Alligator mississippiensis: one gene and its partner. The protein of the gene in region 2 binds, or shares a complex with, the protein of the main gene of each other region. Links are inferred from orthologs where the notes say so. Each region holds a gene or a part of one and is shown on either strand. Other genes may lie near its edges.

The links. The genes of interacting proteins can lie anywhere in the genome.
Region 1: SF3B2 (region 2) and SF3B3 share a complex: the UniProt entries of both Homo sapiens proteins name them as parts of the SF3B subcomplex of the 17S U2 SnRNP complex. The link is inferred for Alligator mississippiensis from reciprocal best matches to the Homo sapiens genes SF3B2 and SF3B3.

The regions. Positions count from the first base shown.
Region 1 is NC_081833.1:36,190,191-36,197,925, forward strand, and holds the start of SF3B3 (splicing factor 3B subunit 3), read left to right. Parts: upstream 1-4,713; 5' UTR 4,714-4,789; intron 4,790-4,956; exon of another isoform or gene 4,957-5,065; intron 5,066-5,110; exon of another isoform or gene 5,111-5,129; intron 5,130-5,724; exon of another isoform or gene 5,725-5,815; intron 5,816-6,592; 5' UTR 6,593-6,645; coding exon 6,646-6,715; intron 6,716-7,133; coding exon 7,134-7,460; intron 7,461-7,735. UniProt on the Homo sapiens protein: Component of the 17S U2 SnRNP complex of the spliceosome, a large ribonucleoprotein complex that removes introns from transcribed pre-mRNAs.
Region 2 is NC_081838.1:5,518,911-5,526,474, forward strand, and holds the start of SF3B2 (splicing factor 3B subunit 2), read right to left. Parts: upstream 3,051-7,564; 5' UTR 3,028-3,050; coding exon 2,895-3,027; intron 2,787-2,894; coding exon 2,740-2,786; intron 2,475-2,739; coding exon 2,394-2,474; intron 1,626-2,393; coding exon 1,380-1,625; intron 924-1,379; coding exon 879-923; intron 1-878. UniProt on the Homo sapiens protein: Component of the 17S U2 SnRNP complex of the spliceosome, a large ribonucleoprotein complex that removes introns from transcribed pre-mRNAs.

The sequences.
Region 1 (7,735 bases), on a different chromosome or scaffold from region 2:
CACAAAAGTATTCACCCAGACATTTCCACATAAAACCATAACCTGACATAGCTGCCAAACTCACTTAGTAATAAGATCCTTTCTTAACACTCTCTTTGGATCCAAGTTATCCAACCCTGTTGTGTGTCATAACCTCTAAAAGCAAGAGCCCACAATTTACCTGACTAAACAGCCACACCATCAATACCAATGCAAGGATTTTACCTACCCTCCTTGCCCTGTCGACTGAGCTCAATGACTGACTTGTCCAGAGACAAGTAGCGATGGATATGAGCTGCTGCTTGCTCATAATCTTCATTTCGCAGAGCTGTTTGAACCCATCCATGCAGAACTTCAGGTCCAAGATGTCATCAGCTCTCTGGATGGCCTGATAGAGGCGGTTCTGCAAGAATAGCAGTTGAGATTTCCTTCACCTAGCTGGACTAGAAAAGAGAGCTATACAGAAAAGACAATATAGCCAAAGGGAAAGAAAAATGTGACCCATGGAGTAAGGGGTTACGATCACCTTGTCCCAGACAGGACTTCAAGGTCAGCAGGGTGCTGGGTGAGTAACTTGGCGTCCCTAGGTAGCTGATGACTTGAAAAAATCATGAGAATCCCAAAATTAGGTTGGAACCCAAAAAGGTACAGCATATAGAACCAGACTATAGGTCTCGCCTTTATTAGGAAAGAATAGCCTACAGAAATCACAGGGGCTACTCCGCACACTGAAATCTGCAGTCTCGTTTTACAAAGCTCCACTCCGTCTAGTTACCTTGGCAAGATCAAGCTGTCGGACTTTGCTGCTGACATTCTCAGCCAGATTCCAGGTGAAAGTGATCATCCCCGCCAACTGCCTGGCATCCCCCTCAATCAGTTGCAGGTTGGGGCTGGAAACACACATGCAGATAACAGGTGATACACAAGAAAAGCAGATCTGAAGCAGCAAGGCGTTATACGTAATCCCCCATCTTGTGCCTGCCAGCACCAGTCTTTTAACTCCTGTCAAAGAACATGACAGTGGCATGAGTTGAAAGTCAGATCCAAGAGTCTTATCTGGAAGATAGCAGCACCAAAGGGCCTATCTACCTAACATCTCTCTTACTAGCAATAAAGAGGTGAAAGGAAATACAGTAAAAGCTGTTATCCGGCATCCCCCAGGAATGCCAGGGTTAATCAAATATTCCAGTTAATCAAATGTGCACCATCTGGTGCACTCCCTGGGGTCAGTGTGCGGGGGGGGGGGGGGGGGGGGGGGGGGGGGGGGGGGGAAGGAGCGGGCCGGGCAGGCTGCTTTGCCCTGGGCCGTGTGCCAAAGAAGAGGCAAAGAAAACTCAGCTCAGGGCAGTGAAATGGGAAGTCCCCCAGAAGTGGAACTTCCAGTTTCACTTTTGCCACATCCCTTGGATGCCGGTTAATAGAGTTTTCCAGCTAATAAACTGCCGGTTAACACAGCTTTTGCTGTAGATGTATAAGTTTGTCCTTTTTTAGGGCAGGAAGTGTCATTTTGTGCTCTAGAATCCAAGCTTTTATTAAATATAAAGCTCCAAGCCTTATGATTGTAGAAATAACCTATGCATTGAACTCTGCAAATAGATTCATTTGTATATATCCAAATCTACAGACAACCTGAAACAACATATTTGAAGAGGCGCATTGTTCATATTCAGAGATGTTAGTGCTAAAGCCTAATACCAACAATACCCACTGGGAATGACAGCTCATTTTTTGACATTGTAGGAGAGCTGCAAGTATCATTACCTTCATTTATCACAGTGACTCAAAGAAAAGATTATTCTATGGCATCTTTCATGTCAAAGCACTCTTTAAAGGGAAACAGATTTACTCAGTAGTGAAAAAAAAAACAAAACACCAGCATTTGTGGTATAATGAAGCAGCTGTTGAACAACATAGGGTAACAGCATACAATAATTTAAAACTAGAAGGAAAAAATACATATGCATTTGAATCTAGGCCTTTTTCCCCCCAAGCAACCCTCCAAAATACAAAACAACTGAAGAAAAATAAAAAGCAGGGTATTGTCACTGAAGGACTGATGTGTTTACTAACCCCATGCGATGAAGAGCAACCATCTTGTTCTCTATGGTACCCTGTTGTTCCAACAGGGCCTCCAGCTCTTCTTCCACCACTTTCTGAAAAAGAAAGTGGTCCTATGTCACTTTATGACACTTTCTGGCCAATCACTAATGTCACTAGCTTAGAAGCAAACCCTCAACATCAATGTAGGAGTACACACCAAGGAGGGCTTCTGAAAACTCAGCTAATAACACAGTCTGTCAAAAGCCCCAGTGTTCCATCTTAATCTGGTTACATTTACACTCCAGTCTAATTTCAAGGGTCAGTTTTGAAACCTCTATCATGCAATGTTAAAATAAATCCATTCCTACATTGCCTCTCCATACCGAAGATGTTCCTGGCTTAACTGTCTATAAGAAAAGATCAGAGTACAATAGTATGCTCCAAAGTTAAAAAAAAATGTGAATGTTGCATAGGCAGGATAGTCAGTCTGTCAAGGTTGAGGGCAGGAAGCCTGTAAACCTCTGTACCAATCTCTTATGGCCAGCTAATGAAGCTCTAGCAGAGACATCTAACTTTTCTTGTTAGATGCTTTGCCATTATGACACAGGGAAGGGGAGGAGAGGGGTACTCCACCTTTTGGCCCCCCAGGCCAGATGAGTGACCCCACCCTCATGCCCCACATGCTGGGACTGGGTCCTGAGAGGCCAGTGCTGTCCCCTTTCACCTCCTGCACACTGGGATCGAGTCTCAGGGGGCTGGCACAATCCCCTGCATACCAGGATTGGGTCCTGGGAGCCCAGCACTGTTCCCTCCCACACCCATGAGCCAGGATTGAGTCCTGTTGGCCCAGCACCACCCTGTCCAAGCCCCCCACACTGGGATTAGACCCTGGGACTGGCACACCCTCTGGCCTGCTATGTGTGCTGGGATCAGGCACTGGATCTAGCACACAGGGCCTGGGGCTCTTCGTGGCTCCAAAAATGTGGCTGCAGGGGAGTGGTACCAGCATTCCCCTACCACCAAGTTTCCAGACCTGTGGGGAGCCCCAGAGACCAAATGACATAGTGCCATGGGCCACATCTGGCCCACACTCTTTCTTTATGTTATCTCACCAAGTTATACCCAAATGCTTTTCTGAACCAGGAAATGGATGGAATTGTGGTCCTCCCTATATTCTAACACACAAGAACAGTCCTGGTAAGTTGTTTTACTTCCGTTTGTTTTCACAAGCAAAACAGGTGGTCTTGTTTTCACAGGAGGACAAAACTGGATTTGCACTGAGTGAGGCATCAGCTTGCTTGTTTGTACTGAAAAACCATAAATGTGGTGAGGGTCTCTTTCTGATGTCTCTTCTTTCCCCTGTATGTTGGGCTTTTTTTCCCTCCAAAACCTTCACTCCAAGAGTTGTTTGCATACAAGGCTTAATGGCAAGTAACAGCAATTAATTTAAATTAACCCTGGCTGGTCCAAGAGTGGAAACAGATGCCATCTGATTTCCCATTTGTATCACCTTCAAATTTTTTAAGGCAGTATAAATGCAGAATAGACATCCTTGCCCTTTTTTGCACCACCTAATAAGAGAATCAGTGACACAACAAAAGGGAGTAACAGACTCTGCTGCTTCATTGCGGTGGGCACCTCTTACCTTGTGGCACTTACCTTGCTTGGGGCTGACTGGCCAGGGAAAGCCTCTCCTTTCCCCACTGCCCCAGACCTGCACTGTGGGTTTGGGGCAGCAGGGAAAAGTGCTTCCCTGCATAACCAGACCCTGAGGTTAACTGAGCTGGGGAAATCCCAGCTTTCTCTGCTGCTCCACACCCATTCAGTGGGTCTGGGGCAGCAGGAAGTGCTTCTAGTCAGCCAGCCCTGACAGGCCCTTCAGAGCTGTCTGGACAGGGGAAGACCTGGCACTGCTGCTGCTCTAGACTCACGCTGAGCAACGCAATGCGGGTTTTGCCCAATGAAGTGAACGGTGACTAAGCTGTGTGGCACAGCTGAATCACTCCACTCTGCCACTTCTAATTCCAGCCCAAGACAAGGGGTTCATTTGGATGCTTCGCACAGGCTGTAAGGTCTGGGGTCTGCTACAAGATGAGCTAAACCCAAACAGACCAAACCTGGCATCTATTTTTAACCAAAGGTTTAAAACAAATTCTGCCGGGACAAAGTCTTGTATCCCAGGACCCTGCACATGAACAAGTCCATGTCCCACTGAGAGTGCCCGCAAAGCTCCAAGATAACGCTTCTACTCCCAGGACAATTGGAGCTAAATTGGCTAAAATCAGATGGCTGCTGGCTGAGCGTGGCGGCCTCCCGGGGCCCTAGGAACGGACCAGCTCGCTGTCCCGCACGAAGCACGGGCGCAGGATCCGACCGGACGCTTCGCCTCGCGGCTGGAACCGAGCGCGCTGCGTCCGAGCTGCCCCGCGCCCGCCGGGGGCGACCCCAGCCCGGCACCAGCTTCCAGCCCAGTTTCAGGAGAAGCCCAAACGGGGCGGCGCAGAAGGCGCAGCCGGCCCGGCCCCACCTCCTCTGCGCACAGGCGGCCATAGGCGGCCTCCAGCTCCCGCAGGTCGGTAAGCGCCCGGATCCGCTCCATGGACAAGCACGAGCTGCCGCCGTCCGCGCCCGGCGCCCTCAGGGCCCCGCCAGCAGCCGCAGCCATCCTTGCCCAGGGACGTCACTTCCGAGAAATCAAAAGCCCCAGCGGGGTCTGAGCGGTCGTTGGGGCTGCTGCCCAAGGTGCCTGAGGGACACGCAGCCTTCTCAGGTTTGGCTTGGCCGAGCGAGCGTCCCCAGGCAGGAGCGGGGGGGGGGAGACGTCGTGGTTGCGGCGGGGTCAGAGCCGGGCGGAAGATGCCCACGGGGTCCTTTCATCGGTGAGGTCAGGCGATCCGAGGGCAGCCCCGTGTCGCTCGCGTCGGGTGAGGAAGGCCCCGGCGGGGGGCGGGGCGGCAGAGCGCGCGCACAGGGCTCATGGCGCAGCGGCTCTGCGGGCTCGCGGCCTAGGGGAGACGCGCGGCCGCCATCTGTTGCCATCCGCCCGGTAGGAGCCGCCGCTTGCCGCCATCTCGCGTCAGGCCGGGCAGCGCGGGCCGGGCTCGGTTTCGGTACTGTTTCCTCCTGCGCCGGCATCAGCGAAGGCTGCGGCGCGGCCTGGGCGGGAAGGGGCGGCGGGGTTGCCTTCTCCGGCCTGGCGGCCCCCGGACGCCTTAACTGCGCTCCGCTGGGGCTGCCCTGATCCCGCCGCGCCTCTGCGCCCTTCGTGCGGCTCCGGGACCCTCCCCCGCGTGCGGGTCGCGGCCTCCGCGTGCCCCGGCGCCGCGTTCCCAGGGAGGAGGTGCGCGGCTTAGTAGAGACCTGTTCCGAGGCCGGCTCCTCTGATCCCACGGAGGATTTTAGGGGCGCAGTTGCGTAGGCAGTTTTTGGGGGCCGCTGTCACTGTCGTACCAGTCTCTGGGGGAAGCATCTGCTCGGGCAGGGAGGTTTCACTGCTTGTGGGGAAGTGTGGCTGAGGGCTCGGGAGGGGGGGAAACATGTCCAGGGCAGCCTAGAAATCTTTCTCCACTTTTTTTCCATATAATCTTATTAAGGGCATTGTGTGACACAGACAATGGACCTGCAGACTGAAGTGGACCTGCTTTATTTGTTTGGTGTTGTCCTCTTTGTTCCTCAGCTTCTGAGCATGTCTTTCATACAGGGTTTCCCTGATTCCATTGTTTAATTGCCAGCCACACCTTTCATTGCACTGCTTCAGGCTCTGAAGAGTAGGCAGAATGAAGTACTTCAAGCTATGGTTTGTAGTGTTGTAATCCCCTTCCCCCCCCTCCCATTTTAATTAAGAGCAAACTTTACTAGTGAGCACAGCAGTTTGCCTGTTCATGGAGGAGGAGGAGGTTGTGCTGTATTGCTGGCTCTGTCCTGGGTTGTAATCCGCAACTCATCCCTCTTGTACAGGCAAGGCTATTAACGTTGATGAGACTAAAAGTGAAACCTTGCTTTATTATTCCTTCTTGTCAGCTCTTTCAGATAAATTACTGCAAAGTAAGAGCTCACTTTGTCACTAACCTTCTGGGTTAAACCCTCACAAGTAGGGCTAAATGGAATTAAAGTAAACAGGGATCCAGGACTGATAAACCATTATAACACTGTTTGGAAGACCATAGCAGCAGACCATCATAGCCTATGCAGTATGGGCTTGTTGCACACATTCATGTGCCTGCAAAACCTGATACCTTGACTCTATCATAAAAGTGAAATGAAAATTGCATCTATACAAAAAATGACTTTAAGCATGTATTTCTATGTTAAATTAGAACATTTAGCATGAACCCTTGTATATGGCTGTAAGGGATGGAAATATGTAAAGCTGACATGCATTGTTCATTTACAAATGAATTAAATAACATTTTTCAGAAGCATTGTAAGACATTCGTGCAGACTTAGCAGACAAGATTAAGCTGCTGGCACTTTTCTGTTATATTGAAATAATGTGAAAGTAAGCACTAAATAGATGCAACCTGTTTTGCAATTGGATGTATTCCTGATTTCTAGCTATTTTGTTTATTTGCAGTGGACTCCATAATAAAGCTGAAACATACGCAGTGAAGTAGATTTATCGCCACCATGTTTCTTTACAACTTAACCTTGCAGCGAGCCACTGGCATCAGCTATGCCATCCATGGTAATTTTTCAGGTAATGTCTGTTGTCCTGACTGTCTTTTTGTTACAAGTTACTTAAATATAACATTAGTTTTTCACTGACGTTTTGCTCTTGTGCTATTAGCTGGGTTGACTGACATGTTCAAATTGAGGGAGAGATCTGGTCTTGAGAACTTCCAGGAACTTTAGTAATTCGAGGCCTTGTCTTCACTGACTTGGGTGGCTTTAGTTAAGTCACTTTGCTCTTTGTGCCTCAGTGTTCCTGTCTGTAGAATAGACAGCCAAACACTGAAATATCTGGTCATTAATGATTCTAAGTGGCTTTGACTTTCTCTCCTATAAAGTATCAGGTTTGTAACAGTATTAGTATTGTAACATTGGTCTTGTCCTTGCTTGATTCTTCCACTTGCTTATGTTGATTATTGATTTTTCTCATGGCTTTGGCTTCTTAGGAACAAAGCAACAGGAAATAGTTGTTTCACGAGGGAAGATCCTGGAATTGCTCCGCCCTGATCCTAACACAGGGAAGGTTCATACCTTGCTGACTGTGGAAGTGTTTGGAGTCATTCGTTCCCTCATGGCCTTCAGGCTGACAGGTGGAACCAAAGACTACATTGTGGTTGGCAGTGATTCAGGGCGCATTGTTATCCTAGAGTACCAACCCTCCAAGAATGTGTTTGAAAAGATCCATCAGGAAACCTTTGGCAAAAGTGGCTGTCGCAGAATTGTTCCTGGTCAATACTTGGCTGTGGATCCCAAGGGTCGTGCTGTTATGATTAGTAAGTCAATCTAGGGATCTGGTTGCAGCATTTTAAAGGATTGAATGGTGGAAACAACATCCTTGAAATTATTAACTTGTGTTGTCCTTACCTCAAGGAAGATAGCTTTTGCACCATACTTTGTCAGCTGCAGCAGCAAGTATGCCTTGCAGGCAGTTTTCTAGATTTCCAAATTTTGCCATCAAAGATCCAGATGTTTAGAATTGTTCCTGCCTGTAACCATGATTGCACAAATGAATTCTAAAATTAGGCCAATAAGATTTTGAGAAGAATCT
Region 2 (7,564 bases):
AAGTTCAGTTCCAAAATTTTCAGTAACACAAAGAAACTTAAATAAAACCAATCAGAGATCATTTGCTGGAATATTAGAACCAGCCACCTACAGACGTGGGGCGTAAGCTAAAGGGGAGCCTGTAGAGCTCAGCAAATTCAAGTCCTGCCAACCTACATGCCACCCTCCAGCTCAATTCTCCCTACAGGTGGGCACCTATGGTGTGTTGTCACAGCAGCCAGCCAGACTTAGGGATAAGCGTTTGTTTTTCTGTGTTTCCAGGTGCAAGCAAAAAAATATCTAGCTGCAGACCGATTTCTGCTTTTTATCAGTAGCCAACCTGCAAGGTTACCTGTAACCTGGGCAACTGGGGGGGGGGCAGCCTTATCCAGGGGAATGTGGTATATGAAAAGAGGGTATTCTGCTTTCTTTCTGCACCTGAGTACCATCAGATATCTCTGTCCCGCACGGAGTACAGGTTTGTCTCGACAAGGACCTCAGTGTGTGGCAACAGCTTGATGGCAGAGCTGGGATGAGGCTGGTAAAGGGGGCAAGGGGACCCCACAGACCATTGGTAATGCACAGGGGGTGCACATGCACCTGGGATTGGTGGTGCACGCCCTGAAAGCAGCTCTGCTGATGCTGCCGGAGGCACCTGTGGGTGGTCACCACTCCCCACCCACCCCCCTTGCCACCAACACTGCCAGCAGCATCTGCGGGCGGTCACCAATCACCGCTGATGCCACCGCCCCCTGCAGGAGCTCCCCGCTCGCTGCCATGCCCCCACTGCCTGCAAGCAGTCCCCGTGTCCCCCCCAGTCTCCAGGGGCATGCATCATTTATGCCAGAGACCGTGCTGCTACCCCACCCACCCAGTAGTACATGCCGCGGGAGACTTACCCGCTTCTGTTGCTCCAGCAACTCCTGCTCCTTCAGCTTGTCCCCCTGTGAGAGAACAAGGCATGAATGGGTAGGCACCAGTATACTGGGGGAAGAGAGGGCTGGGGGCACCAGGATGGAAGACCACAGCCCACAGCAGTGCCAAAGTGCAGGGCAGCTGGGTCTGATCCTATCCAGAGCTCAGGGGGAACAGGGCCCTCCGCCCAGCCCTGGGATGTGGCTGGCTCTGGGGCAAGTGTCGGGGCTGGGGATATGAGGCCCAGACTTGGGATGTGGCAAGCTTTGGGGCTTGGGATACAGGGCGCCTTGCCCGGCCCCAAGATGTGGCCAGCTCCAGACTAGGAGAGCAGGGCTGAAGATACAGACACCCCAGCAAGCCAAAGACCCACCGCATGCCCTCCTGACCAACAATGCCCCTCTCCAAACCACCCAAGACAGCAGCCCCACAGCTGCTCCCTGTAGCCCCCAGCCCACCCCCCCACACCACAGCCCCCAGCTGACCTGCTTGGCCCGCTCTTCCTGCTGCATGATCATGGCAGCCTGCTGCTGGGCCAGCTTGAGGCGCTCCTCCTCTGAAAGGGCCACGGGGTCCACACTGGGGACACGCAGGGGAGGTCCCATGGGAGGTGGCGGGGGTGGCCCCACCCCCATGGAGTAATTGAGGCCCATGCCTGGTGGCGGGGGAGGGGGCGGTGGAGGCTGCATGGGCATCCCCATCGGTGGAGGGGGCATCGGGATCCCCGAGAGCTGTGGAGGGAACAAGAGAGACAGGTAAGAAGGAAAGCACAGGCTGTCTGCCAGGATGCAACCAGCTGTGGGGTGGATGCTGGGGACTGAATATAACAGAGATGCAGCTGGCTTGAGGCAGGGAGTTGGGGCTCGGGTCCCCTTACCCCATTGCTGGAATGCAGCTGACTCTGGGGTGGGCAGTGGCGCTGGACATACAGGGCCCCTCGCTCGGATGCAGCTGGCTCTAGGGTGGCCATCCCAGCTAGGAAAGGGATACCTCAGCCAGCACCGGGATGCAGCTGGCTCTGGGGATACAGGACCCCTTGTTTGACAGTGGGACACAGCCAGGTCTGAGGATACACTGTGGCCAGCTCTGGGGAAGCGGGAGTGGGGGCCATCAGGACCGAGGGTCCAGGACCTCTCACCTGGGACTGGGATGTCGCTGGCTCTGGGGAGAGCATCGGGAAGGCCCCTCACCAGGATGCAGCCAGCCCAGGTGAAGGGGGGTACGGGTGGGGGGGGGCTCAGGATGCCTGGCACAGCTGCTCATTTTGGTGTCCCATGCCCTGCCTCCTCAGGCCTCTCGCTCTTCACTTGGATGCGGCCAGCTCTGGGTGGGGGGTCGGCGCCAAGCACACAGACCGGCAGCATGACGCCCCCCCACCCAACCGAGGGGCTCGAGGCGACAGAACGGCCTCCTGTGGCTCCTCCACGGGGCCAGGCTTCGCACCCCACGTCGGTATCTGTGCCAGGGACCCCCCCGCCCAGCTTCGACACCCTCCTTACCGGGCCCGTGCGTGGCGGCGGCGGGGCAGGCTTGTCGCCATCCTCTCCTCTCAGGACCGGTCTGCTCAGTACGATGCCCGTCTGAGGGAAGGACACAGGGTGAGCAGGGGCAGGACGGGTCTCGGGGGCCCACGGTGGCTTCCCTGTGCTCCTCCACCCGCCCGGGAGGGGCAGGGCAGGGGCGCAAGGGCACAGGTGTAGGCGTCAGGGCTTGGGTTACAGGGATGAAAGGCTCGTGCCCCCTTCCCCCACCTAGCTGCCCACCCCCAGGCCTGGCCAAGGCTGCCGGGCAGGTGGGGTCCAGCCCATGTTCACGTGCTGGAGAGGTGCGGGGGCGGGGGCTCACCTGCAGCGTGTAGGTCTGCAGCCGCTCCACCAGCTCCTCGCGGCTACCTGCGCACACGGGCCGGGTCAGAGCGGCGGGGCCCGGGGGTAACCCCTCCCCCTCCCCCTCCTTCCCGGGCAGCCCCGGGCCCCGCCGCACCCCCTCCCCCTCCTGACCCTGCGTGGGGGCGCCGATCTCGGCCAGCCGGGCCTGCAGCTCGGCGGGGGCCCAGGCAGCGTATCCCGGCCCGGCCGCGGGCCCCGGCGCGGGCAGCTCGGCCGCGGGCGGCTCGGGGTGCTCGGCCGCCATCTTTGCCGCGCGCAGACCCGGCCGCCACGCACTGCGCAGGCGGTGCGCGACAGAACCTCCGGCGGGCGCGCGCCGATGACGTCAGGGACAAGGGCAGTGCCGCCCGGCCGGATGGGAGCTGTAGGCCGGCTGGGGTGCCGCCGCGCATGCGCTTCCCCGCGGACGGGGCGGGAGGGTGGCCACCCGCGGCTCGTGGCGTGTGCGCATGTGCGGGGGTGGTTCCGCCCCCAATCCCACGGCCCGTCCACTGCTCCTCCCCCCGAACGCCCTTCCCTCCTCTCCCCCACTGCCCAACCCCTCCCCACAGTCCTCCCAGCCCCCTCCCACTCGCCCAGCCCTGCCCCTCCCCCGCTGCCCAACCCCACCCCAATCCCCCCAGCCCCCTCCCGCATCCTTGCCCATCTCCCAATGCCCCCCTCCCCTCCCCCAGGGCACCCAGCCCCTTCCCCACCCCCGCCCCACCCCCCACCTTGCCCCCAAGACCCTGTCCCTCCTCCTGCCCCCCCATTCCCAGACCCCCTCCCTCCTCCTGCATTCGGTTGGCACGAGAGACGTGTTCACAAGTCTGTGCAAGAGCTCCGTGCCAGTTTGCACACAGCTTGCACGGGGGAGGTGCTCGCCAGCGTGTATGAGGTGCACGCGCCTGGTTAAATTCGGCTCACGCAAGAGACACATTCCCAAATCCACGCAACAGCCTCGTGCCAGCTTGCACGAGGGAGGTGCTCACAAGCGTGCGCAAGGGGCACACGCCTGGCTGCATTCTCCTCTCATGACAGGCCCCATCAGGAGCGCACGGGAGAGCCACAGCCCTGCTCGCACATGGCTCACACGAGGCAGGTGCTCACAAGCACGTGCAAGGGGCAGGCATGTAGCCTCATTCAGCTCGCACAAGAGGCACGATCACAAGTCCTGTGTCTCCCGCAAAGGGGCGTGAGGGGGCATGGCTCTGGGCGCTCAGGTCACACTTCCCCAGCACCTCCACCCGGGGCCAGGATGGGGCCTGCAGCCAGGTCTCCCGTGATGGGATGGATGATGACCCAGCCATGCCCTCGGGATACCCCGTGGTGGCAAGAACCCTGGCTCCACAGCGCCCGCTGCAGGGAGAGCTCAGCACAGCCTGATCTGCTCCCCCTCCCACACACCAACCAGCTGCCAGGTCTCCAGCCCTGGTGCCCTCCCCACAGCCCAGCCTGTGGGTGAGAGCCCAAGTCCAGACCCCCAGGGTGTGGACTGCAGGAGGTGAACCCGACCTGGGCCTGAGCCAGGGCTGGGGGAGGACACAGCTGGAACTGCCCCCCCCCCCCTGCACTGGGCGCGTGGGGATCTCCCAAGCCCTGGGTAATCGCTGGGTCTCAGGGCTCTATTGGGGGGCAGTAGCAAACTCCTGGGGGTTAGCATTACCAGATATGCAAAGGATTGTGGGTACTGGGGGGGCATAACAGGCTCCTGGGGGTGGTGTGAGCTGGGGTGGGCATAGCCAGGCATGCAAAGGGTTGTGGGTAATGGGAGAGTGCCTCTGCCTCCCCCAGCCTCCTGCCCGGCAGTGAGCACCAACAGCAGGTGACAAGTGCTTTAGCAATGCGGTGACATCACCTCCTGGGCTAGCCTTCAAGCTGCCAGAGCCACCAATGAGGGCTTGGCACTACCCCCACTGCCTGTTAGGAGTCATAGTCCTCAGTGCCTTTGCATGCTAGGACCTGTAGTTCTGAGGGGGGTGGGCACAGGGCAGCCCCAGCTCACAGGGGGCGCTGGAGCCCCACCTTCTGCCCTTAACTCTGCCCCATCCATGCCCCACATTGCAGCCTCTGCAGGAATTTGAACCCACAGCTCCTGCTTCCTGGTCCAGGGCTGATGAAAGCAGCCCCTGGGGTGGGAAGGGAAGGCCATCCGCCCCCTGCCCCGTGGAGACTGCAGTTTTGGCCCCAGTGGGGCAGAGAAACCAGGAAGCAAGACCCCACACCCCGCTCTGGAAGGACCCTGGGGTGCTGGGTGCTCAGCGCGGAGCGGGACAGCCCTTTCCAGCCAGCACTAGCCACACGCTTTCTGTCTTCACCGGAAAGGCGGTGCCGGGACACGACTGGCTCTAGGGTGGGGAGTCGGCAGCAGAGTATAACAGGTGTGGGGGCACCAGCTCTGGGGGGCACCCAGCTCTGGGGGCGCCTTTGAGCAAGCCCTGCCTAACCGGGCTGGGGGCTCAGCCCAGCTGGCTAATGACTTCATTAGTGATCACGAGGGTGGGACGCTGCCTGTGGGTCCAACTGGTGCCTGGCGGGGGCAGCTGGGGGGGGCGGGGGGGATGTTGTCATCTAGGGAAGGAGCCGCCCCAAGATAAGGTACAGCAGGAGCTTTGGGGCCCAGCACCAGATAAGGCTGGAATGTGCGTGTGTGGCCCTGGGTCGCCAGCATGGGATTGGCCAGTGGTGATGTGTGGCCACGCGGGATTGGCTCATGCCAGGGCGGATAAGAGACTGGTATAAAAGCGCCCCCACCCCCAATCTGGGCCACCCCCCAGTGGGAATGTCCCCTCTTGTCCCTTGCCTCAGTTTCCCCTGCCACCCCCTGAATCAGCTCATTGTCTCAAGGACGTGACCCAGGGTCAGAGGCAGGAGCCAGCGGAGGCCTGGAGCCCAAGGGGTCACGAGCTGGGGGTGCAGGCAGGGGTGGGCGGGATGTGGGAACTGGGCACTGGGCAGCCCAGGGAGCAGCCCTGGATCAGAGCCTGGCTCAGCCGCCCTTGATCGGGGGCCGCGATGTGCAGAGACATCTCGGCCGGGCTGGGCCTGAGCGCTGAGCCCCACCGGCCAGGCCGGGGCCTCCTCTGCACTGCTGGTGTCAGCTCTGCAGAGGCGTGGGAGCCATCTTGACAGCGGCTGCAGCACAGCGTCTCCCTGCTTCTATTCCAGGCTGCCCCAGGCTGCAGATGGGACTCGGACCCAGGTGCTGCCTGTCGCTGCACCCTGGGGCTGTTGTATAGCACAGGGACACATCTGGGGGTTGGGACAGGGCCTCGGGCATGGGCTGGGCTGGATGGGACTTCACAGAGCCTGTCTGGAGGCCATGGGCCAAGCCGGCCAGGCCATGAGGAGTTTCCCTGCCTACCCCCCATGCAGCTGCCTCCCAGGGCACTAGAGTTCCAGCTGAGACCAGAGCGACTGGCAGCCCTTGGGGTACAGAGAGAGGGAGTGTGGGATACCTGGAGGCCTGACACCCCCACCTTTCAGGGCTCTGCCTCTGCCATGAGCCCCTCCGTGCCCCCTCCCCCTCCAACACGGGTCTGAGCCCTGAGCCGGGAGCCGGGAGCCCATCGCCCTGGAGGCCTGGCCGGGTGGGCGGAGAATTCCCAGGCGAAGACGGCGCTGGACCGCTCAGGCATCCCCTGGGAACGTGGGCTGCACACTGGGCCCATTGTGTGATCCCAACCCGAAACACGATCGCGGCTCAGGGAGGAGCAGAGTCCTACAGGCAGCCGGGGCCGCGGGGCCCTCGCTGGTTGTGGATGCTCTACAGGGCTCTGGGTTTCCCAGCCCACGGGGGCCTGGGCTCTGGGGTATACAGCAAGCAGGTTGGAGCTGGGCCAAGGCCCTGTGCCCCAGCCCCACCCCAGAGCCGCCCCCCCCTTTCCCACTGAGCCATCTCCGCCCACTCTGCCCTACTGCCCTTCCTGCTGTTGGGCCTCTGCTCAGAGCTGCTCTTTGTTCAGCTGAAGCCTTCTTTATGTAGGGGAATGCAGCCCCTTGCCCTGCGGTGCCCCTCACTCCCTGCCTCTCCCCTCCTCACTCCCGACCCACAGCCCCCTGCCTCCCCCCTCCTCACTCCTGACCCGCAACCCCCTGCCTCCCCCCTCCTCACTCTCGACCCGCAGCCCCCTGCCTCCTCCCTCCTCACTCCTGACCTGCAGCCCCCTGCCCCCAGCCCTGTTGGTACCCACCACTCCTGACCCTCAGCCCTCTGCCCCCCCATCCCTATCAGTGCCCCTCACTCCTACCCCACTTTGCTCCCCTCCCCAAGGTGTAAGAGAACCCAGGCATCCAGGCTCCCAGCCTCTCCCCCCCTCCCCCTCCCCCTCCCCCACTGTGCTCTGGGTATAGGTGGGCACAGGGCTGGGGGGGGGGGCAGGGAGCCCTTACCTGGCTCCCGTCTGTATCATCCCCCTTGCCCACATGGGGGCACCCGGCTCAGCCCCGCCCCCACCTGGTAGAACAGGTTTGACTGAGCCCTCGCCAGGGCCTGGGGGGGAACTGGAAGGGAACCTGAGCCCCTGGGAGGGGGAGGGGAGGCTAATCCTGCCTGGAGCATGCCTAGGACCTGGGAGAGCCCAGGGAGAGAGCCCAGGCGCCCCAGGCCCCACTCCCTTCCCAGAGTGGGAGTGGGAGAGAACCAGCCTCCCAGCTCCCAGGCACCCAGCTCTAACCACTCACCCCCCACTGCCCTCCCGCAGCCAGAGAGAACCCAGCAGCCAGCCTTCAGGCCAAGCCCACCAAGGGGGGCACCTGGGTCCAGGCTCCCAGCCTCCCCTCTCTTCCCAAAAAACCCAGGC